Linked DNA regions of Arabidopsis thaliana. The protein of the gene in region 2 interacts with the protein of the main gene of each other region in a pairwise test. Each region holds a gene or a part of one and is shown on either strand. Other genes may lie near its edges.

What was found.
Region 1: the proteins of CYCD1;1 (region 2) and CDKD1;1 interact in a protein complementation assay, tested with the Arabidopsis thaliana proteins (one large-scale study listed by BioGRID).
Region 3: the proteins of CYCD1;1 (region 2) and ICK3 interact in a protein complementation assay, tested with the Arabidopsis thaliana proteins (one large-scale study listed by BioGRID).

What each region holds. Positions count from the first base shown.
Region 1 is NC_003070.9:27,711,600-27,719,957, reverse strand, and holds CDKD1;1 (cyclin-dependent kinase D1;1), read right to left. Parts: upstream 5,049-8,358; 5' UTR 4,846-5,048; coding exon 4,750-4,845; intron 4,467-4,749; coding exon 4,168-4,466; intron 4,073-4,167; coding exon 3,964-4,072; intron 3,879-3,963; coding exon 3,753-3,878; intron 3,676-3,752; coding exon 3,440-3,675; intron 3,359-3,439; coding exon 3,077-3,358; intron 2,989-3,076; coding exon 2,940-2,988; 3' UTR 2,538-2,939; downstream 1-2,537. Other genes in the region: AT1G73700 (MATE efflux family protein), read left to right, coding at 328-564, 689-1,233, 1,310-1,396, 1,486-1,542, 1,633-1,871, 1,961-2,079, 2,172-2,258, 2,345-2,404.
Region 2 is NC_003070.9:26,436,847-26,445,971, forward strand, and holds CYCD1;1 (CYCLIN D1;1), read left to right. Parts: upstream 1-2,709; 5' UTR 2,710-2,806; coding exon of another isoform or gene 2,807-2,950; 5' UTR 2,951-3,168; coding exon 3,169-3,441; intron 3,442-3,593; coding exon 3,594-3,680; intron 3,681-4,206; coding exon 4,207-4,305; intron 4,306-4,400; coding exon 4,401-4,602; intron 4,603-4,691; coding exon 4,692-4,828; intron 4,829-4,912; coding exon 4,913-5,134; 3' UTR 5,135-6,161; downstream 6,162-9,125. Other genes in the region: AT1G70209 (uncharacterized protein), read right to left, coding at 2,807-2,950. UniProt on the Arabidopsis thaliana protein: May activate cell cycle in the root apical meristem (RAM) and promote embryonic root (radicle) protrusion.
Region 3 is NC_003074.8:9,057,201-9,064,240, forward strand, and holds ICK3 (Cyclin-dependent kinase inhibitor family protein), read left to right. Parts: upstream 1-3,635; 5' UTR 3,636-3,789; coding exon 3,790-4,196; intron 4,197-4,295; coding exon 4,296-4,388; intron 4,389-4,472; coding exon 4,473-4,542; 3' UTR 4,543-4,803; downstream 4,804-7,040. Other genes in the region: PRT1 (proteolysis 1), read left to right, coding at 102-220, 308-595; AT3G24820 (BSD domain-containing protein), read right to left, coding at 5,517-5,658, 5,882-5,979, 6,748-6,878, 6,977-7,040. UniProt on the Arabidopsis thaliana protein: Inhibits CYCD2-1/CDKA-1 complex kinase activity without interaction with the complex.

The DNA.
Region 1 (8,358 bases), 1.3 Mb from region 2:
AGAGCAACTAGGAGCCACTCACGTCATTGTCTATATAATCGGAAGCTTTGAATATAAAAAAAAATGCGTGGTTGTGAATTGTGAGCATCTTTCAATTGTTGTTGTCATTTAATAAAACAAAATATAATCTGCCTCAGGGGGAAGTAGAAAAGAAATTAATTTCTATTTACCACATAATTAAAAGATTTCATTCCTTAAAAAATGCATAAATATCAACGACGGCTCCACAAACCCTAAAGACTAGGAACAAAGAGAGAGATAGTTTGTTGTTATTCTATTTCTCTTAGTTTTTTTTTGACATATTTTTTTGTGAGAAACAGAGAGAAAATGGAAGATGGTGTGACGCCTCCGCTTCTGATCACAGAGAAAGACACGACGATGATTCGTGTGAAGGAGGAGGTGAAGAAGCAGCTATGGCTTTCTGCTCCACTCATTGGTGTTAGCCTTCTTCAATACTCTCTCCAAGTCATCTCCGTCATGTTCGTTGGCCATCTTGGCTCTCTTCCTCTCTCTGCCGCCTCTATCGCCACCTCCTTTGCCTCCGTTACCGGCTTCACCTTCCTCGTACGTTTCTTCGTCCCATCTCTCACGATCCAGTCAAAAAAAAAAAAAGAGTGCATTCAATAACATAACCTTAGTTATCCTCTGTTTTGTAACTTTGTTCAAAGTTTGTGTGTATGTGAAACAGTTGGGAACAGCAAGTGCATTGGAGACACTATGTGGCCAAGCTTACGGAGCAAAACTATATGGAAAATTGGGAATTCAAATGCAGAGAGCAATGTTTGTACTTCTTATACTCTCTGTTCCTCTCTCAATCATTTGGGCTAACACAGAACAGATTCTCGTATTGGTCCATCAAGACAAGTCCATTGCAAGTGTTGCTGGCTCCTACGCTAAATACATGATCCCGAGCCTCTTCGCCTACGGACTGCTTCAATGTATCAACAGGTTCTTGCAAGCGCAGAACAATGTGTTCCCTGTCTTTGTCTGCTCTGGTATCACTACATGTCTTCATTTGCTTCTCTGTTGGTTGTTTGTGTTGAAGACTGGTTTAGGATACAGAGGAGCTGCTCTTGCTATTTCGGTCTCTTACTGGTTCAACGTCATTCTCCTCTCGTGTTATGTCAAGTTTTCGCCTTCTTGCTCGCATAGTTGGACCGGGTTTTCGAAAGAGGCTTTTCAAGAACTTTATGATTTCTCTAAAATTGCTTTTCCTTCAGCGGTCATGGTCTGGTAAGTCATCAAACATAAAATGCTGCATTGTTCAGGTTCCAGTATCTGCATTTTAATCAAATTCTGTTTGAAACAGTTTGGAGCTTTGGTCCTTCGAGCTTCTGGTTCTTGCCTCAGGCCTTCTTCCTAACCCGGTTTTAGAAACTTCGGTGCTTTCAATCTGGTAGATTTCGGTTATCTTTGTCTTATGGTACTCAGAGTTTGTGTACTTCTTCTTTATATTTGATCAACCTCATTTCTGCAACTTTTCAGTCTAAATACTTCCCTAACAATCTGGCAGATTTCGGTTGGTCTTGGTGGCGCTGCAAGGTCAGTAACAAAATGTATCCAAGAGCTCATAAAAAGAAAAATCTCATCAAACCAACCTATCTCACTTTGTGTGTTTCTGTTAACTTGCAGCATAAGGGTCTCAAACGAGTTAGGAGCAGGGAATCCACAAGTGGCAAAACTGGCTGTATATGTCATTGTAGGCATAGCAGTAGCCGAGGGAATTGTGGTTGTAACAGTTTTGTTGTCGATTCGGAAGATCTTAGGTCATGCTTTTAGCAGCGACCCGAAAATCATCGCATATGCCGCATCAATGATACCGATTGTTGCATGTGGAAACTTCCTTGATGGCTTACAATGCGTACTCTCAGGTTTTGAATGATAGAAGATTGGCTTTGGTTCCTTGTTTATATATGTCCGGTTCGAATCCTGGTCAAATAGTTTTGATTTATGGTTGCAGGGGTTGCTAGAGGATGTGGATGGCAGAAAATTGGAGCATGTGTGAATCTTGGATCATATTATCTTGTTGGAGTTCCATTAGGATTGTTACTTGGTTTCCATTTCCACATTGGTGGTCGGGTAATAATCTTAAACTCTCCTTCTCATTCTCAAGTTCAAACACAAGACTAGTTTTATAGAAACTTTTATTTTGTGGTATTTTCATATTGTAGGGGCTTTGGCTGGGAATCGTAACAGCATTGTCTGTTCAAGTGTTGTGTCTTTCCTTAGTCACTATATTCACAAACTGGGATAAAGAGGTAAAACCTTTTAACTGATCGGCTCAGTTTTATATGTATAATAACTCTGCCATAATGTGATTCTGTTTCTTGTTTTACATGATTAGGCAAAGAAAGCTACGAACAGAGTCGGATCTTCAGATGACAAAGATGGTGACGTCCAATGATCAATAAACGTCTGAGGAAAAAGCAGTTGCAAATGAGCTTAATGAGTGCTTTATTCTTGTATGCCCATATGAACTTATTGGGAATTTCTAATTGATGTGGCCGTACATTGGTCTTTAGAAAACTTTACCATTGTTACATAGTTATTGAAATTCCTTGGATGTGTTTCCATTCTCATCGAGCATTAGTGTAATGAGATCAAAAATTCATATATGTAATACACCAACGTGTTCGATACTAAAAATTCTGGACTTTAAATTGGAAATGAACGAAGAATGAGTTTGGGATCAGAGCTCTCTTCTAAACATAGGCCAAAAACAGAGATTTTTCTATGAAGGGTGTACATGATGATTAGTTAATCATCTGTGCTTTATATTCTTTATTTTAGACAGAAAGAATGATTCAAACTATTCGTCATCACTAGTTGTGATATGAAAAATTTCAGGAATTACTGAACGGAACCAACCAGTAAGAGAGATCCTATAGGCTATAGGAACCTGAAGAACGACGTCAAGAAGAAGCCTGTTACGCGATATCCTATAGGAACTCGAGATCAAGTTTCCTCTTCAGATGAGATCTATCTGCACTGCAAATCCAAAAATCAAGAATTCATCAAAAGTTTTCATTTTTTAAGCTGACCAAGAACTGACTGTAATAAAACCAATTGTTTTTACCTGGTGATGGTTGGTCGGTTTGGTGGCCGCTCAGCTAAGATGGTGAAATCTAAAGACATTGGTGCTTGTCCATCATGGCTAGCTTGTCTCATGACATCAACACTCTGGTCCTTGAAACCATTACCAGACTTTCCTCGGTCAGGCATCACTCTTCTAAACTTATGTGCTGGTGACAGCACTTTAATGGCTTCAAGTTTACTATCAGATGACTTAGCATCTTGCTTGGAAACTGGTCTTGGGAGCTTTAAAGGGTCAGTAGGTGAAGGTGCAGATGTGAAGTACCTTTAAAAAGAAATCAAGGTTTGAGAACAAAACTAAATAACCTGTTCTTATGCATTATCCATAGGGGAGATTTTTAGGTACCTGTGTTTTAGAGCCTGCTGAATCGATATTCTAGACTTGGGGTCATAGGTGAACATCTTTGACAACAAATCTAAAGCATCCTCACTAACCGTTGGGAGTAAAGAACGTAAAGAAGGAGCAGGGACAAATTGATACTCTACATAATCAGGAAGGCAGATCATGTCAGGCCACTGATCTGCTTTTGGAGTCCCAAAGGCAGCAAAGATTTTGCTTAATTGATCAATATCACTGTTTCCCTGCAATGGAATAAGTAAGTTAGATAAACAAGTAGACAGATGCACTGGATTACTACACAATCAAAATGGAGGTTCACCTGAAGAAATGGTCTGCGTAATAGAAGTTCAGCAAAAATGCAGCCAGCAGCCCAAACATCAACTGCACCATCATATTGTTTTGCACCAAACAAAAGTTCAGGTGCTCTATACCATCTAGCAAACACCTATGAAAATTGCTAAAGGACATCAAGATACGAAAGATAGCAGAACTACTACATAAATAGCATTGTCACAACAAACAAAGCATACCTGGTGGGTAAACTTACGACCTGGGCTACCAAATATACGTGCTAACCCAAAATCTGCAAGTTTCAGCTGTCCATTGGGTCCTATCAACAAGTTGTTTGGCTTCATATCTCTGAAACAAATACGAATGATCATCCATAAGTTTAAATCAAAACAGACCTTATTAGAGATAGAACAAGTTCTGCTTCTAAGTTCCAATGATAGTACCTGTGCAGAACCCATTTGCCATGGCAATATTCAAGACCTTTCAATATCATTTGGAGGTAAGATTTGACATCACCAGGCGAAAGATAGAGATTACGATCTCGGATAACTGCTTCGAGATCAGTCTCCATGAACTCAAACACGATGTGCAAATTCTCCTTGTGAGGAAACGCATCAATCAACTCAATTATATGTGGATGCTTAAGCTCTTTAAGTAATTTGATTTCTCTAAGAGCTGTTACATTCACACCTTCTTTCTCTTTACCAAGTCTTATTTTCTTGATCGCTACAGTTTCTCCATTCTACAAATTGCCACAACAAAACAAATCAGCTTCCTTATACAAACTTAAACAAAAACTACACACTTTAAATCCATTAAGAACATAAAAATGCAAACTTTGACTTCTAAGAACACATATTAGTGTAAAGATCGAAACTTTAGCTGATTTAAAACCTAAGAGCTATCAGATTTAACCAAATTGTTCCCAGGAAGAGACACGTCAAAAGACACACGACAGAATTGGAACCCTAGTTTCGATGGGATCGACAAAAAATATGAAGAATTGAGAGAGGAATCATCTTCACCTTTGTATCAGTAGCTTTGAAGACGACTCCATAAGTACCTTGACCAAGAACCTCTCGCTTTAGATACCTATCAGCAACTTTCTTCGGCTGTTCCATCTCCGGAACTCTCTAATCGGATCACAAGCAATTGATCGAAACTGATCTTAATTAATTTGTTATCGTTAACGTTGAGGTATCTTATGATGCTCTGGAGAAAAAGTAGCCGTTAGAGCAATTACAGAAGGAATCGACATTTTTAGGGGAAAATATTGAAAAGTAAACGAAAAAGGAAAGAGACGCTCTAAAGCTAGAAATAAAACGAAGCTGGAAGCGTCTATCGTAACGACGTCGTTTAAAGGTTTATAAATGAAAAGCAAAATTGTTCCGGTTTACTCAACATTGACTCGTCAATTATTCTTCGGTTTAAAATGTTATAAGTTAGTGGTTAAACAAAAGATGATTGTGAATATTAACATTTTTTTAGCTGTATGAATATTGGAACATTGCCTAAACATACTTAGAAATTAAAAAAAAAATCCAAGAAAATAAAAAGCTGCATCAACAAGTTGCCAAATTAACCTTGCTCATATTTTCCGCAGCATGGACCAGGAGAACACTACCGGATTAACTTCCGTTTCATGAAGCGTGGAATCAAGCCCAAATATAAGGCCCAAATAACTATTCCGAGAAGGTTAGACAAGCAACTGTTAACTTCTGGGCCCATATAATGGGCTCATAAGAAAGAGATGCAGCCCAATCATTAAAGTTTGCACAAATAATTAGGCTGATCAGTCCACTTTTTTTTAGGTGACCAAAGAAAACAAAGTAAGCCTAACATTTGAGTATGAACCAGAAAAATTTAGGATACTTCAGGGTCAAGTATTTTGCTAGTGAACATTTTTCATCATACAAATTTTTATTTAAACAACTCAAAAAAAAACTTACACGATGGATAAAAAAACACACTTAAAAATAAGCCATTGAATTGTGAAAGAGACGAGACTCGTGAGGGTAATAAGACAAGTTCGTTGTAATAAATCTAGCAATAGATTCTGCTCAGACAGAGAAATAATTACCTGCTTTCGTGCCCACATCATCAGACTTATAATCCTGACCGTACATCAACCTATTTCACTATTTCGTGTTGAAATTTCTAGTTGTTAGGGCTAACAAATGATTTAGAATTAGGTCACCAAACGGAAACACTTGTACATTATTTTCTAAAAGAAATAAAGAATGGTCGGCCAAATTCATTTTCAAAGTTACATCTTAAAAATGTAGTGGACTAGTAGTTGGCAGGAACGATAATAATTGTTATTTTTATTATCTTTACCCAAAAAAAAAAAGAGTGAAGCACAAAAGCCGAGAAGGACGCATGTGACGCGTAGGGAATCTAACACAAACAATGTCAGACCCTTCCCATGTCTTTTCAGATGCACCCACCTGTTCCTTTTTTTCTTTTCTTTTTATTCTTCTATCACGAATATCTAAACCACTATAATTACGACTCTCTATCTATCATTTCTTCCAAAACATGACGTGGCCTCTTCTCTCTCTCTCTTTCCTTCTCTCTAAGTATGTTTAGGGTTAATAATTAGGGTTCCTCCTCTCTTTTGTTCTGTCTTTATATCTCCTTCATAGCTCTAATGTAAGAGATTTACCTCTTTTGGTGTTTTTGTTAATCCACGTTCTCATCAAAACTTTCTCATTGTTTTATGAAGAGTTAAAGGTCTTTACAGTTTGCTTATGTCAGATCCATAATATATTTGACAAGATACTTTGTTTTTCGATAGATCTTGATCTGACGATGGAAGTAGAGCTCCTTAAAGTTCAAACATGAGTTGAGCAGGGTAAAGAAAAGCTGCTAAGCTATGGATCCCATAAGCCCTAATCCTTGTAAAGTAAAAAAGGATTTGGTTATATGGATTGCATATCTCAGGAGCTTTAACTTGCCCTTTAATGGCTTTTACTCTTCTTTGGATTGAAGGGAGCTCTACATCTTCTTTCACCTTCTCTATTTTTTATTTTTCTTTATTTCTACTCAACAATTATTTATTCGGATTCATCTTTAATTTTCCGTTATAATTTCTTTTTGGTAAGGATTATTCGCTATAATTTGAGAATTATATGGTTATTATTTTGATTCCGAAGCAATGTTTAGCGTGTTATTTGTTTTTCTTGTAAAAAACTAGGGTTTATGCAACTGCCTCGGGTAGATGAGAAGATCCTTGGTTCTTTGGAGACTTTTAAATTTTGCAATCTTTGCTGCCATATGCACTGACTATCTTTGTATGATTATTCTCATATCTAATCTAACAACTAAATCCTGTTCTACAATCACAGTCCTTTAGTTAATTGCGAAAATAGTTTTCTGTCATATATGTAAAATGATGATCGGATCGGATTTAAAGGACCAAAGATATTCACTAACTTATACGATTCATTTGTCAACTCGAGTACTTGATTCCTGTCTTTACACAATGAAGATTATAAACTTGAAGAACATTAAAAGTTAATAAAAGTTAAGATTAAGATATAAAAATAACACATATCAATAAATTGAATGTCTTTTCGGATCACCTGTAGGAGTTGGCCATATAATTTGAAATCGAACGTAAACTACAGCAAATTTTGTTATTATAGTTTGATTGATAAAGAAATGGTTTTAGGCAGAATAATTGAAACTGAACCCTAGCTAAACAATTTCTTTTAAGGGAGTCATCATGTAAACCAAATTTCACTTAAAAAAATGATGTTTTAAACATATAATTCGACAATTTTTAGTTTACTAAAAAGATTATGATTTTTGTTTGTTTTAAATTTAATATTGTTATACTTCCATAAACAAGTTACATGTGCTACAGTTGTGAGTCTCGAACTTTGAGTCTCCAACCCAAAAGAAATCGAGATACAGTTATGTGCTAGTTTAAAGAGTAAACTTACTCAAAAATATCCGAAAAACACAGGTAAACTGATCCCAAAAACAAAATTCCGAAAACTTAGATCACCATGTCGATCCGGTCCAAAAGTTTTCATAAGAACTATCAACCAGCCTTCGATGTTTCAGACTTTCAGTCTATGGTTTCAGCACAATAAGATAATCTTGTAGACACATAGTATGTCTTCAAACATGAGGTCTCTTGGTGTTGTATGTGTAGAAACTTATTTGGCTGGTCTTGCCTTCGTTGCTAAACTGGGATGTAGACATTTTCATTATTTTGATTGTACTTTCGAAGTTTTCAAAATTGGGCCTCGTTTTTATGACCCTTCATGGAAAAAATAAAGTTGTCAATCTTCCTCTTACGACAGAAGAGGTCTGTTGCAGATCTGGACCAAACCCTGTAAGCAAAATATCCATTAACATAAGGTCAAATCTAGCCCATTAAATAGGCCCAAATAAAGGCCTAATAGTGTAATGTCAACCCTAATCGTTCAATTCTCTCACCATATTTATGTAACGACTGACTGATTTAACTAAGCCTTCTATTGGGCCTTTGGCACACAAATGTTGTAAGAGCTACTTGTGTTCGAATGAATAGTTTTTTTTTTTTTACCAACGTATGTATCGAGCAATTTCTCGTTATGAGAATGATTCAATTATTTTGAATTGTTAATTTGTTAACAATGCCG
Region 2 (9,125 bases):
GCGAGTCATAATCAGCCAACGCCGACCAAAGTCCAAAAAGATTAAAGATGAAAAAAGGGTCCCTTTGAACATTTTTCGTGTGCAAATCTCGATGGCAACTCGTATCAGATTGTTTAGAACTAGTGTGTAATATTAATTTAGAGGAATATTTTCCTAGCTAGGTTTTTTATTTTTGGGATTTTGCTTAACTATACACTCTAATAATAAAAAGTTTGATTGTGGAGATTGTGATCAATATTATGGAGATTGTGAAAACTGAGCTATAAATTATAGTCAAAAGAAACTCAAAACCATACATTTTTATATTAACAGCTATTTTGCTATGGTTATATGCTTTTTTCAATCCATGCAAAATAACATGTTTTGGAGATCATTTTTTTTTTTTCCAAACAATTCAACCTTCAGAAACTAAATAAAATTACTTCAACCAAGACCAAAGTGGAAATGAGAAAGCAATGATCTTTAGTTACTGTGTGCACAGTGTATGTGAAAAATGTCACTATTCATCACTCATCATGCAAGTGCTTGTTGATATGTTTGATTAGAGACTGAAAAATGTGAAAAAGTTACAATTCATGTTGTTATACATAAAATTGGAGTCTGGCGAAAAAATCGATCAATGATCAGTGTATGAATATTATATAGGCCTCATTATCATTCCATTGAAATTGGTAGCTTCAATGATCTGAGTTCACCGATTTTTCAATGTTTTGATTATTCATTTTCAAGTTCTCCTTTAAAAAGAGGATTCTAGAAATGTTTCCTAAAACTAACTCAATGTAGAGAAAAAAAACATATATTGCTGAAAATGACTCGACCCACTTGTTAACTATTCATTATATTTCTAGTAACTCAACATGGACTCATGATCATCATTGTATATAACAAAAAAAAATGCATTATTATGATTACATATGCAAGAGTATATCAATAGGGTCCGAGTTGACTATGCTACAGGAGAACGAAAAAAAACATTTCTTAACGAGTAGTATCAATTAATGTGACGATGATAGTATAAGATCATGTCTAGTGATATCATACGTACCATATAATTAGATCTGAAATAACCATTCAACAACGATCATTGACTATAAGGCAATAGCTCCCATGAATCGTCTTGATTTTCTTTAAGAAAATAAGACATTAACAAAAATGACGAACCCTACCACGAGAATGTAGTCAGTCTGATAAATTGTTGTAGGTTGGGAGGTGCATATTTTCCCTCCTTTCAAATTTCAGTTTCTTGACTTCATTAATGTTAATATAAATAAACATATACTGCATGATAAAAATGTTAATTTAACTGTAAATGTGAATGCAAATCTGAATGTAAGCCATATGTTTTAAATATTGTCTACCTAAACAGAGAAATGAATTAGTAGCCCAACCTAGCCATAACAAATAAATAATGAAGAAGGTCTTCTTCCGCCGAAGATACCAAAAATATATTATCTTCTATTTCAAAAAGTATCCCATTTGTTTCTAATTTCTATGGTACAATGTAGTTGTTGAATTGTAATTTTCTCAATGTTAATTTCGTTATCTACGTAAGCATTGTCAACTATTTACATAGTACATACAAGTGATAGTTATATATTAGCTCTTCCATAATTTTTAATTCTTATCAATATGAAAATATTGACAAATTTATACAAATCTGCATAGAAAACACATACAAAACAAATATGAAACAATGTTAAAAAAAAAAAAAAATATGAAACATTTTTTCTAATACACCTGAAAACTAAAATAAGGGGTAAATATATTAGAGGTAAGCGAAAAATCTACTACAATCTAAACCGAGATCATCCCAATGGTATAATTAAAGTCTAAAATCTAAATCGAAGGAGCAAAGTATTTTGTAAGGCACACGTGAAAGAAAGTAACTACGGGAGTGATTAATAAAAACGGGCCAATGATTTAACACTTTTATGGCATAATTAAACCAAGAAGGGACCAAATAAATATGACATATTGATACAAAAAGGAATGTGAAGAAAATCTCCGGTTCTACGAAAAGGACTTCCACTACTCTTTCCCACACGCTCCAGACCACTGTTTGCTTTCCTCTGATTAACCAATCTCAATTAAACTACTAATTTATAATTCAAGATAATTAGATAACCAATCTTAAAATTTGGAATCTTCTTCCCTCACTTGATATTACAAAAAAAAAACTGATTTATCATACGGTTAATTCAAGAAAACAGCAAAAAAATTGCACTATAATGCAAAACATCAATTAATTACATTCGATTAAAAAATCATCATTGAATCTAAAATGGCCTCAAATCTATTGAGCATTTGTCATGTGCCTAAAATGGTTCAGGAGTTTTACATCTAATCACATAAAAAGCAAACAATAACCAAAAAAATTGCATTTTAGCAAATCAAATACTTATATATATACGTATGATTAAGCGTCATGACTTTAAAACCTCTGTAAAATTTTGATTTATTTTTCGATGCTTTTATTTTTTAACCAATAGTAATAAAGTCCAAATCTTAAATACGAAAAAATGTTTCTTTCTAAGCGACCAACAAAATGGTCCAAATCACAGAAAATGTTCCATAATCCAGGCCCATTAAGCTAATCACCAAGTAATACATTACACGTCACCAATTAATACATTACACGTACGGCCTTCTCTCTTCACGAGTAATATGCAAACAAACGTACATTAGCTGTAATGTACTCACTCATGCAACGTCTTAACCTGCCACGTATTACGTAATTACACCACTCCTTGTTCCTAACCTACGCATTTCACTTTAGCGCATGTTAGTCAAAAAACACAAACATAAACTACAAATAAAAAAACTCAAAACAAAACCCAATGAACGAACGGACCAGCCCCGTCTCGATTGATGGAACAGTGACAACAGTCCCGTTTTCTCGGGCATAACGGAAACGGTAACCGTCTCTCTGTTTCATTTGCAACAACACCATTTTTATAAATAAAAACACATTTAAATAAAAAATTATTAAAACCTCAAAAAATCTCTGTTTCTTGTTTATATATCCAAACAAATGAATGTGTTAAACCTTCACTCTTCTCTCCACACAAAATTCAAAAACCTCACATTTCACTTCTCTCTTCTCGCTTCTTCTAGATCTCACCGGTTTATCTAGCTCCGGTTTGATTCATCTCCGGTTATGGGGAGAGAATGAGGAGTTACCGTTTTAGTGATTATCTACACATGTCTGTTTCATTCTCTAACGATATGGATTTGTTTTGTGGAGAAGACTCCGGTGTGTTTTCCGGTGAGTCAACGGTTGATTTCTCGTCTTCCGAGGTTGATTCATGGCCTGGTGATTCTATCGCTTGTTTTATCGAAGACGAGCGTCACTTCGTTCCTGGACATGATTATCTCTCTAGATTTCAAACTCGATCTCTCGATGCTTCCGCTAGAGAAGATTCCGTCGCATGGATTCTCAAGGCGAGCCTATTCACTTTTTTTCTCTACCTCTCATTTTTTTCAATGCTAAAATACGCCGCCGGAGAGTGTGTAGACGCTAAAATACGCTGATCGAATCGTTACATGCAGAGAATCTTTTTTTTTACAGTAGTGTGGTATTGTTTGGTTTACAGGTACAAGCGTATTATAACTTTCAGCCTTTAACGGCGTACCTCGCCGTTAACTATATGGATCGGTTTCTTTACGCTCGTCGATTACCGGTAAATGTTTTAAAAACGTCAACGTTAGTTAATTCTATTGTCTCTGTTTTTTTATTATATTGATATGACAAATAACAACCCCAAAAAGTCAGTTTTATTTCCCTTTTTTTTTTTCAATGGATCGATTTGTTTATTGACTTTTCTTCAGAAAAAAATGAAAACGACTAAAAATTTATTAGAGCAAAAAATTATAATCGGTATAGAATAATTTAGTAGAAATTAATCTTATATTGGAATGTACGTAAACGATAGAACAGGAGCGGGCTGGGGAACTTTTTTTCGTTTTTTAATTATTTTATTGAAATTTATATTTTCGATAAAAAATTACATTGACGTTTACATAATAATAGTATACTTTTGCAGTAAACTTTCCACTTCATATATCGGCTTTATTGAAAACTTTGTAATCATAGTGTTAAAACGCTCCTACTACTATATAATATTTTAAATTAATTTTGTAATTAAACTTAATAGAGTATATAGTAATCAATGATTATATTAATCAGCTTTAATTTCTGTAAAATAGGAAACGAGTGGTTGGCCAATGCAACTTTTAGCAGTGGCATGCTTGTCTTTAGCTGCAAAGATGGAGGAAATTCTCGTTCCTTCTCTTTTTGATTTTCAGGTAAACATATATTATCATTCTTTCTTTAACATTCTGAATTTACTCTGTTTTTTTAAGAAACTTTAATTTATGTATCTCTGTATAATGTAATGTAGGTTGCAGGAGTGAAGTATTTATTTGAAGCAAAAACTATAAAAAGAATGGAACTTCTTGTTCTAAGTGTGTTAGATTGGAGACTAAGATCGGTTACACCGTTTGATTTCATTAGCTTCTTTGCTTACAAGATCGATCCTTCGGGTACCTTTCTCGGGTTCTTTATCTCCCATGCTACAGAGATTATACTCTCCAACATAAAAGGTACGTAATATTTGTATGATATATGATCCATAATGTCATTTAGGTAGCACATTTTTGGGTTGGTTCTAACACATGACCAATTAGTACAGAAGCGAGCTTTCTTGAGTACTGGCCATCGAGTATAGCTGCAGCCGCGATTCTCTGTGTAGCGAACGAGTTACCTTCTCTATCCTCTGTTGTCAATCCCCACGAGAGCCCTGAGACTTGGTGTGACGGATTGAGCAAAGTAGGATTTGTTATATCACGTTTAGATGGAACAAGGGAGTAACAGATTGCTAATTAATGTCTTTTGGTTATATTTGACTTTCAGGAGAAGATAGTGAGATGCTATAGACTGATGAAAGCGATGGCCATCGAGAATAACCGGTTAAATACACCAAAAGTGATAGCAAAGCTTCGAGTGAGTGTAAGGGCATCATCGACGTTAACAAGGCCAAGTGATGAATCCTCTTTCTCATCCTCTTCTCCTTGTAAAAGGAGAAAATTAAGTGGCTATTCATGGGTAGGTGATGAAACATCTACCTCTAATTAAAATTTGGGGAGTGAAAGTAGAGGACCAAGGAAACAAAACCTAGAAGAAAAAAAACCCTCTTCTGTTTAAGTAGAGTATATTTTTTAACAAGTACATAGTAATAAGGGAGTGATGAAGAAAAGTAAAAGTGTTTATTGGCTGAGTTAAAGTAATTAAGAGTTTTCCAACCAAGGGGAAGGAATAAGAGTTTTGGTTACAATTTCTTTTATGGAAAGGGTAAAAATTGGGTTTTGGGGTTGGTTGGTTGGTTGGGAGAGACGAAGCTCATCATTAATGGCTTTGCAGATTCCCAAGAAAGCAAAATGAGTAAGTGAGTGTAACACACACGTGTTAGAGAAAAGATATGATCATGTGAGTGTGTGTGTGTGAGAGAGAGAGAGAAGAGTATTTGCATTAGAGTCCTCATCACACAGGTACTGATGGATAAGACAGGGGAGCGTTTGCAAAAGATTTGTGAGTGGAGATTTTTCTGAGCTCTTTGTCTTAATGGATCGCAGCAGTTCATGGGACCCTTCCTCAGCTTCATCATCAAACAAAAAAAAAATCAAGTTGCGAAGTATATATAATTTGTTTTTTTGTTTGGATTTTTAAGATTTTTGATTCCTTGTGTGTGACTTCACGTGACGGAGGCGTGTGTCTCACGTGTTTGTTTTCTCTTCAAATCTTTTATTTTGGCGGGAAATTTTGTGTTTTTGATTTCTACGTATTCGTGGACTCCAAATGAGTTTTGTCACGGTGCGTTTTAGTAGCGTTTGCATGCGTGTAAGGTGTCACGTATGTGTATATATATGATTTTTTTTTGGTTTCTTGAAAGGTTGAATTTTATAAATAAAACGTTTCTATTATATGAAGGAAAAAGTACATTGAACTCAATAATGGTCGTGGAGAAGGTTAATAGCTACGTGAGAGGATAATATGAGTAGTGGTGAGATTTGATTTTGGTGTGGCCTGTGGGAGCACGAAGCATGTGAACATGTGTGTTGTGGATCGAGTGTATGTTTTATTGAACGACGAACGTAAAAAGACAAAAGAAAATTGTATTTGTTTAAGACCAAAAGAAAAAAAAAAGTATTTAATGTTCAAAATGTAATAACCTTCCTCATTTTTGCCATAATTAAACACATTTCTTTGTTTTTGTTTTTTTGGGCAAAAGATTAAGGGTTTTATATACCTATTTTAACAACAGTAAATATACAAAAGAAAATCAAATTATGAAAAAAACAAATTACAAAAGAAGTAAAAAATAGTGGTTAATTTCTCTCTTGATTTTAGTAAAGAGGAACAATTAATAGGAGCAGTAGCATACATGTGATGTTGATCTGTCTCCATGTCAGAGAAAGTGGTCTCACCACGAAACCATAACGTAGCTACACCGTTCTATCTCTCTCGAACCCCTCAAACATTAGCCACACAAAAATACCATCTTTGACTATCCATTTATATATGTATGCACACGATTTTACAAGTAAAAAAGGAAATAAGAAGTGAAAGAAAAAGAAAAAAACTTACTGCAAAACAAAACATTTTACAAAAGTGTGTTTTAATCTTATAACTAAGTTGGTTTGTGCCGACAGAAGTGCACCCCACGTCGAGAAAATGTCTCCATCCTCATAATTCTAGTTGATTAGTTTAGTAATGTGATTTATTTATTTTCCATCGACGACATTATTTGTTCACCCTCCAATGAACTAATCACTCGTCTCATAGTCATATGCTTTATACTAATCATTTACTTATCTATCGGATTACAACGTTATCTACTTTCTATAAATCCTCATGACGCTCCTCTTCTGTTTATTTATTATTTTGGTTTACCTCACTTTTCCCATTTTTCAACCATACACTGATAATATTGACATAAACAAATTTTAAATCCAAATATCAAACATGCACTGTTACCATTTTGATTCCACTCAAATGTACGTAAGGAAATGTGTTACTGCTTTTACTCTCGTACTAGTCACTATTTATTAACTTTTTCTTTCCTTTTACAAAAGGTTGGCATGGTTTTGTAAAATTCATGACATGAATTATGAATATAAATGGTATGTTGTAAGAGCAGAGCATCAATATGACATGACAACCTGAACGTGAACCAGATGGAGTTATAAATAAATACGTACAAGATAACTATTACAGGAATATAAATACAAAATATCTTTATAAGAGAAAGAATAGAAGCTTCACCCACTACTATTTAATCTAAAATGATGCAAAAGTAAAGAGAGAGTATGGTTAGGTGATTAGCAACTGCTAAATGCTAATTATAAATAAATAATGACCAGCCCACACATTTGGACATATTAATCATCGGGGGATTACCTTTATCATTGTTTATTAACTTTTTATTTATTTTAATTCTCTTGCGGGTTTTGATTAGGACACACGGGGACACAAAGGGACCTAAGCTTATATATCAGCGTATAAAGACAATCATCTTTTAATTACTATCTTAATTGATCCTTGTCCTGTTATTTGGTACACGCGTTTGCCATTAGTTGCATACCTTTTTGTATCATACACTTCACGAGCACTTGGTTTCTCAAACAGAATATACATTAATTTTCTTATAGAATAATGGATAATGACAACTAATGGGAATGGGGTAGAGACAAAACAATGAAATTATATGACAGGAGTTGCATTCATTTTAATTTATAGAAAATGGGCAGATTTATTAGTATTACTTTACATACACATGTAGTCATGTAGATGTATATGAGTTTGTATCGTGTATATAAGCGCATGTAGATCATGTGGATATTAGTAGGAATAAAAACAGAATATATAATACGCATATTTTTAACCAAATCGCCTATTTATACATTCGTATTTCATAGCTATTTTGATCATTTCTTCATAATTATACACTACGTACATGTTACCATTACATGCAATCTATATCAAACTCACGTTACTCACCTCTCCGACTACTAATCAAGTACGTAATGGGATTTAATTATAAGCACATACAAAAGCATATTTTAACATTTGTTCTTAAAGCGAAACAGAAGAAAAAAGAAATGCGAGGGAATATATGCTAGAACATGTAGAAACAAAGTTTGCACATGGATTCTTTATTTGCCTTTAATCTTTAGAGAAGAAGATACACTATATATTCATTAAAATAATCAAACTTTGGATGCTTGAAAAGTAGAAAGAATTATAAAGTGATATATGAGATGATATTTAGTGAAGGAATCATTAAAATAAAAAATAAAAGAAAAGAGAGAACAGAGAAGAATCAATGGTGGCATGGCCCGACTCGTAGGGCGTGAGAGAGTGAGTGAACTTAGTTTCTCGAGGGAGCGTCTCTCATTTGTATTTTACTTTAGAAAAAAAATCGTGGGTTTGCTTTTTGTTGTTTATGGTCACAAACCAAGATTTAGTCACTATTGCACTTTCATATCTCTAGTGGACAACGACGTTTCCTCCTTCCCAAAGTCCTTTGTTTCATCATCAATCACTCTTTACCTAACCCAACCTATTCATGTTGTTTACAAGGACACTCGCACACACGTGTGACCGAAGTTCGAACCATATAACCAGGCACAGTTAGAATATAGTTTCGATTCTTTTTGATTAATGTAAAAAGAGTGTAAGGAAAAAAGAGGATGAACGTGAGAGAAAGGAAATGAGCATAAAAGAAAACCAATGAGCATTGAGCACAGTGACTGAAAGCAATAAAGTAAGATTGTAAGTTTTTTTTCAGATTGAATTTTTTTTACAGAGACTTCAGCAAAGGGATGAAAAAGTAGAAAGTAGAAAGCGAAAGGCATTTTTTTTTTATGGGGGCGAAAGCAAAAGCGGATTAGAGAGGAGAAAGCTTTGTTTTAGTTAAAGAAAGACAAAAAGGAATGTAACACTCTTTTAGATTTGACATTAAAGAAGCTTGCGAATGTGACTTTGTAGGAGCCATATATCAATAATACATTGAATCCACATCATAGCTATAAATTAGTCATTTCTCTAATCACCATGCTTAATAAGA
Region 3 (7,040 bases), on a different chromosome or scaffold from region 2:
TGTCCTTGTGCTCTCAAAGCTTAGTTCTTGTTGTTACACAAAATATGTGAGACCTATACACAGAGACTCACAGTTTGTAATCGTTTTATCTTGATGTTTAGATATTCAAAGCTATCTCAAAGAAGGCCCGTCCTTATCAAACGACAATAACAATGATGATCCCTGGTTGGCAAACCCTGGATCAAATGTTCACTTTGGAGCTGGTTGTGATTCTTGTGGGGTAAGTGCATTATTACCTTAACCCGATTGTTAGTTGTGAAACCAAAATATGTGAATCGTAATTTGACACTGGTGCGGTTTGCTACAGGTGTATCCAATCATAGGGGATCGATACAGATGCAAAGACTGCAAGGAGGAAATTGGGTATGACCTTTGCAAAGACTGTTACGAGACTCCTTCGAAAGTTCCAGGGAGATTCAACCAGCAACACACTCCTGACCACAGGCTTGAGCTTGCACGGTCTCCTCAGGTTCTGATCAATTTCAATTCTATCGGTATCCTTCTCGGACCCGTTATCTCAAATGAAGGCATGGATACAGATGAAGGCGAGGAAGGGCCTCCTGGTTCTTCTAATGAGTCATCAAGCACAGAATGAAATAGCAGTCAAGTATTAATGCATATGCTTTCGCTTTGTGTTTGCGTTTGTTATTGTATTTATACTTCATAATATATTTTCTCCTGAGAAGTCTATGGTTTTAACATTTTAAACAAAGTTTATTTCTTAACAAAGTTTGTTTGCATTTGTGGTTGTTAAGTCACCTCTTTTGTTTATATTACCTTTAAAGTGTGATTTATTTTAATTCCTCTCATTAGTACACAACTATTATTGTTAGTGTAAAGAATCCATTTAACAAAAAAAAAGATAGAAGAAATTATCCATTTGAGACAAGATAATTGAATACAATAGTTACTAAAAGGTTAACTAGCCAAATTATTTGTTTGAATGATTAAAACTTTTTTTTGCACAAAAAAAAGATGATTAAAATCTTTTTTAAGAATATATAAAATTATGTATAAATTAAATTCTTAGATCATTTAAATACCCATATTATTCAATATTCATACTGAATCCGTTATCCGTATCATTCATTTTTTTTTTAAAAAGTACAGTTATAATAATAATTGTAATATCTTAAATTACACTTATTCGATTCTTTCAGTTATTATCCGGTATTTATCTGAAAAAGAATAAGTTTAGTCATGTAAATGTAAAAAAGAGTGAACTTTTGAAACAATTGAGGCATGTGAAAGCTTTTCAATATACATATTGGCTTGAACTTGAAGGATTGCTAATAGATAGTAACTGGATTCAAGGGACCCCATCAAGGTGAAAGATTCGCTCCTCTGAGTGCGTGTGAGGCAGCTACGATGTGATTGGTCGGAGTGTGGAACCCATGACTGCTCTTACGTCGGAAATCGTTTCTCGGGTTCTGTCTTTTTTAAAACACTTTATTATTGTATTAAAAAGAAAATAAAGGAAAAAGTTTTTTCAGTACGAGCGTGTTGTGATAACAGTTTTTTTTTTTTTTTTGGCGCCCTGAAAAAAAGGGCGGGAGGACGTGAAGAGTGTTATTGCAGATCCTTTATTTGTTTTTTGTTTTTTTTGCCTTTATCTCTGATTTTTGGGGATTCGGTAGCGTTCGAGATCTGAGCTGTTGCATGATTGCTGAGAGTCATCGCACGTGTGCCTTCCTTCTTTGTACGGTGAAAATAGTTTTTACCATATTTAAACCGGTTATAAAGTTTTGTTCAGGTTTAAAGTATTATGGGCTAGTAGTGTGATCTTTCGTGTTTGGATGAACTGATGAACAAAGAAATATCTAAAGATTGTACACAGTGTTGGTCATGCATACGATTTGAAGCATATAAAATCATGATTCATGAGAATGTCCCTTTGACATCTTCGATAAAATCATGAGAATTATGAATTATCGCAAGCTTTAAATTTAGAGATTTTTAATGTAATTCATCTTCTTCAATAATAATAAACCTCTCGATTAAGAATAATAAGCACCGGGGCATTGACATTGGGAGCCTCTACTCAGTACTCACCTTGTTGTTGTTTCACGGGTTACATATATATTAATATAAGAAGGCCTTTTAACAAAAATAAATAAATATAAGTCTGATTTAATGTATAAATGTATATCACGTAACAGTAGATTAATTAGTCGCCGCATCACGATTCTTGTTTCAAAGAAACAAAAAAGAATAAGACTGTGTTTGCTACACAAAAGAAATGTAGAAAACCAAATTGAGTCATATATTTACATTTCAGATACTATAAAGTATAAACTAAATTTTATGTAAAGGAAAATTAATTTTTCTATTTAGACGTGAGTATAAGCATGTAGTCAGACCAACTTTATTTGTTCGACAAATTTACCAACAAGTCAACTTTTGAAGCCTAATTTATGAAAGATAATCTCAACTATTACATCACAAAGAGAACGGTTGTTGAGATGATTACATAACTATAAAACTAGAAGCAACCAATATAAATGTCCAATGCTAATAAATCCAAAGAAAATAAATACTTAGGTAAGTGATCAACCCTATGATGTTAATTTTAAGACACTTGTTTACTTAAAAAAAAAAAATTTACAGTCAAATGTATCTGTATACAATTAATGTGTACGTTTTTGTCAAATGTGAAGAATTTAATAGATGGTTGACTCTTTTTTTCTTTTGAACCAATAACCTGCATGACATTTGAAAATCTGAATGCTAGCTTTTGTTTTGGATTGTTTGTACAAAGTTAACGTTGACTTGTCTACCAAATTTTATGAAACAATGAAAATGGATGCAAAAAATGAACTGCCTTATTATCTTAAACCAAAACAAATTTGACACATACAACGATCTTTGCATTATTTAACAAAAATAACTAAAAATTTCCACACGATATCAATTGCTTTATAATCATGGATGGTCTACCAAAGCAATTAATATAAGCTTGATGATCTTTATTCTCAAAGACCTTGTTACTTTCGGCAGCCTTTTATTATTTGTTGCACCAACCACTCATAAACTTTAAATACTATATATATAGTGTATAGAATAATTGGAATATATATTTCCAAAAATGTTCTTCATTTGAGAACTATTATTTTATGTTATTTTGGAGTAACTAAGAATTAATTATATAATATAAGTGAAATATAGAGTCGGAAATATGTCGTTTACTACATGAATTATCAAAAAGTTGTTATTTAATACGTAAATTTTATATATAAACATTTAATATATGTAAAAATTATTGACCGGTTATTTTACACAAACTTAATTGTTTATCAGCCAAAATTTATACCAACGTAAAAAAATTAGATAACATTAACTTAGTGTAAAATAACTTTTTTCTATATATTAAATGATTATATTCAAAGTTTACGTATTAAATGAATATTTTTTAAAAATTTGCGTATTAAACTATATTTTTCTCAAGCAAACTCAAATTAATACTTTAAATATCTCATATATTGTTCATAATTTACTTTTGTAAAGTAGACTTTTAAGTTTTAATCAGATAGAATACAAAAATTAAATTAAATTCCAATTAATTAAATTTTGATTTATCTTTTTTCGAAGAAAATGATGACAATCAGGTGAGAGGGCCTTTGACACCTTAAAAATTTGTCTAATTTGTTTTTTGATTCGATTTTAAAATAAATATTTCCATTGTCCTTTTAGTTTTCACTTTTTCAGATTAAAAATCACTTTTTTCCTCCTCCTTCGTTGCTTCCCTCCTTTCGCTCTCGACCGGAGATTCAGTAAACCACCTTCCCGGAGATGGGAAAATACATTAAGAAGTCAAAAGTCGCCGGTGCCGTTTCCGTTAAGGATAAATCTCACCCACCCGCTCTAGGTTTCCGTACCAGAGCCGCCGCCGCTAAAAACCTCGCCCTCCACCGTCTCCGTTCTCATTCCGACGAAGCAGACTCCTTTAACTACCTCCAGCTCCGGAGCCGCCGTCTCGTGAAGCTTCCATTACTCACTAATACCAGAAAACAGCAGAAGCAACAGCTCATTCCTAGTGTCAATCAATGTCAAACGAAAAACCCTAGGGCTAGTTCCGGTCCGGCGAAGAAATTAGAGCCGGATACGACGACGGAAGAAGCTTGTGGTGATAATGAGAGAATATCTAGGTCTGATTGTAATTTTGGAGATAAAGGTTTTGATTTGGAATCAGAAAACAGGTAACTTTAACTCTGTTTTTTTTTTCATTTTAAAGCTCCAAACTTTTTTTTTTTACTACAATACAGAGATTGAGTTTTGATATGTTGGTTCTCTCATAGGAGCATGATAAGTGATTCAAAATCAATACAAAGTGAGATTGAAGACTTCTTTGCTAGCGCAGAACAGCAACAACAGAGATTCTTCATTCAAAAGTACAAATCCCATTTTCTTTAGTGTCTTGATTCTCTTGAGTTTTTAGAGTTTGGTCTGACTTTGGGGGAGTTATGGTTTTGCAGGTACAACTTTGACATTGTCTCGGACAATCCATTGCCTGGACGTTACGAATGGGTCAAAGTGATGCCATGAAATGAGTTGTGTTCGATGTAAAGTTGTGTGCTTTAGGAAACATCTGTGTTGGAACAGAGGAGATGAAAATTGCACACAGACTAACTTTGTGGGGTTTTAGGGTTGGTGTATAACTTGTTAGTCAAGAATAATGTAATGTTAATCTCTCTCATTTGCTACAAATAAATGTCTAATTTAACTGTCAAGTTACTTAAATTAGTATTGTAAATCTCTTCATTGTTCTTTGGTTACTTCAGTGAAGGTCTGAGTTTTGTGGTTCTGCATTAGAGTTACTTTACAAGTCATATACTTTGGATTCAAGTAGCAAAAGTAGTGAACTTGTCTGAACAAAAACCTTAGTCACAGGTTTTATCTCTATCTTCTTTATTGATAGTTTGATACTCTAATCTCATTGGGCTTTTCACACATGTGGGTACTTGTACCAATTCCTCTGTCATACAGGTTGCAGTAAAATGCTTCGATTAGATTTCATCTCTCTCTTCTTTATTGGCACTGCACTCACTGTCTTGCTTTCTGGAATTATTTCTTCAAAAGTCTAAGTTAGTAGCACCTTTCATGCTAAAGATTAGGTTTCTTGGTTTCTGTAAAATATTTCACCTCTTTAGATCATTTGCTCATCGGATGAATCAAAACATTAAATAATGATGTCTATTCTTATTAGTACAAAGCGTTTAAGACCACTGTGTTATGTCTGATACTAGTACTAAATTCACATGATCATTTACATCTCTGAAGAATCAAAACCTTCTTGGTTTTGTCACCTTTTAACACATGAACAATATTTACTGATCAAGCCCTGCTTCTCCGATGGTTCAGCGTTTTTGTTTGGTTAATTTGTGAGCAAAACTGCAAAAGCAAGTCATAGGATGCTTAGAGTGATTTCATTCTCGTTGATAATAGTTGTATTAAGTAAATACGTAGTCTGTAATATTACAGTACCTGTCATGTTCCATCCCAACTCTACCACCGAAGCTTCACGGAGTTGCAGGTCCTGTACTCAACCTTTGCTTTGTTTCTGACATTTCAACTTCATATACACCCTTGCTTTCAGAAGTTTTACTGTCTTCCATGGCCATCCTCCTGATTTGAGCCTGTTGGATTGCTAGCACCTCATATCTGCAAATAATTTCCATGAACTACCAATGGTTAAACTCATATTTCTCGTGATCTTTATTCATCACTTTGTTACAAGCTAAAAACCCATCTCACTATCTCTATATGAAAGTGGAATCATACACAGAACAACAGAGTAAGGTGCATTTAACACCTACTAAGGGCATTACACCTGGAGTTATGGAACCATCTCAAACGAAATTTTTTGGCATAAGAAAGTACTTACTTTGCCACAATCTTCCTCACAAGCTGGAAATATATCCTCCAAAACTGATGTTCCTTTAAAACTCGCGGGCATAACTTGAATCTCAACTGTGAGAGTTCCTGTAACACGAAATCAATCTTGTTTAGAGCAGCTTTGAAAATAGATTCGTTTAAACCCAATGGTCCTATCAACCAAATTCAATTTTACCAACTGTGTAACAAAATCATCTTGAACTGCAAACACGAGCATGTTTACCATTTTCACTAACATGAGCCTAACCAGATTACAAGCAATTCAGGAAGATAGTAGCATCAAATGAACTATAAGATTCGGCACATAAACTCTGATCCGATTCTGATTCAAGTGATACCAGTGGACCAAGAGCTCTACCACTACCAGTTCCATCCATTTAGAAATCTTGCTTAGTCCTAAAGAGTAACTTTCAAATTTCCCTATAAGATTCGATCCATTGCTCCTAATTGACCAAACCCAAAGCTACAAGCAAATCAAGAAGACAGCAACTTTCTATAGGCGCTATAAGAATCATCAACTCTTATTTGAATCTAATTTAAATAGCACCGTTAGCTCCAAAATCCAATCATTGATCATTTGAAATCTCTACAGACAACAGCTACAAATTCCATTCATTTCAACACAAGTTCAATCATCAAAAGAAGCAAAATTTAGGAAATCAAGAAGACAACAGCTATGTAATAGGCTATATAAGAATCATCAGCCCACACACTCAGATATGAATCTAACTTTAAAATAGCACCATTGGCTCCAAAAGCTAAACTTTGATCATTTGTAATCTCTACAGCTACCAATTCCATTCATTTCAAAACAAAAGTCAATCACAAAAAGATTCAAAATTCAAGACCAAAAACCTTCGATTTCGATAACACGAGAACCGCGTGTTTCTCCTGCCAATCAGACAAATCCTTCTTCACATTTGCAGATGAACTCATTCCATTATCTTCATCTCCCAAAGGATTCACAGATACTTCTTCTTCTTCATCTGTTTTAGAAATTACAACCCAAACTACTAAAATCAACTTCATAAATCACAAAACTAAAAAAATCCTAACTAAATTGGGATCCAATTTTCGTAATTACCTTCCAGAGAGAAGTTCTTAAACGTATCAATGGTGAAGGATCTGACATGATCGATTAACTCATC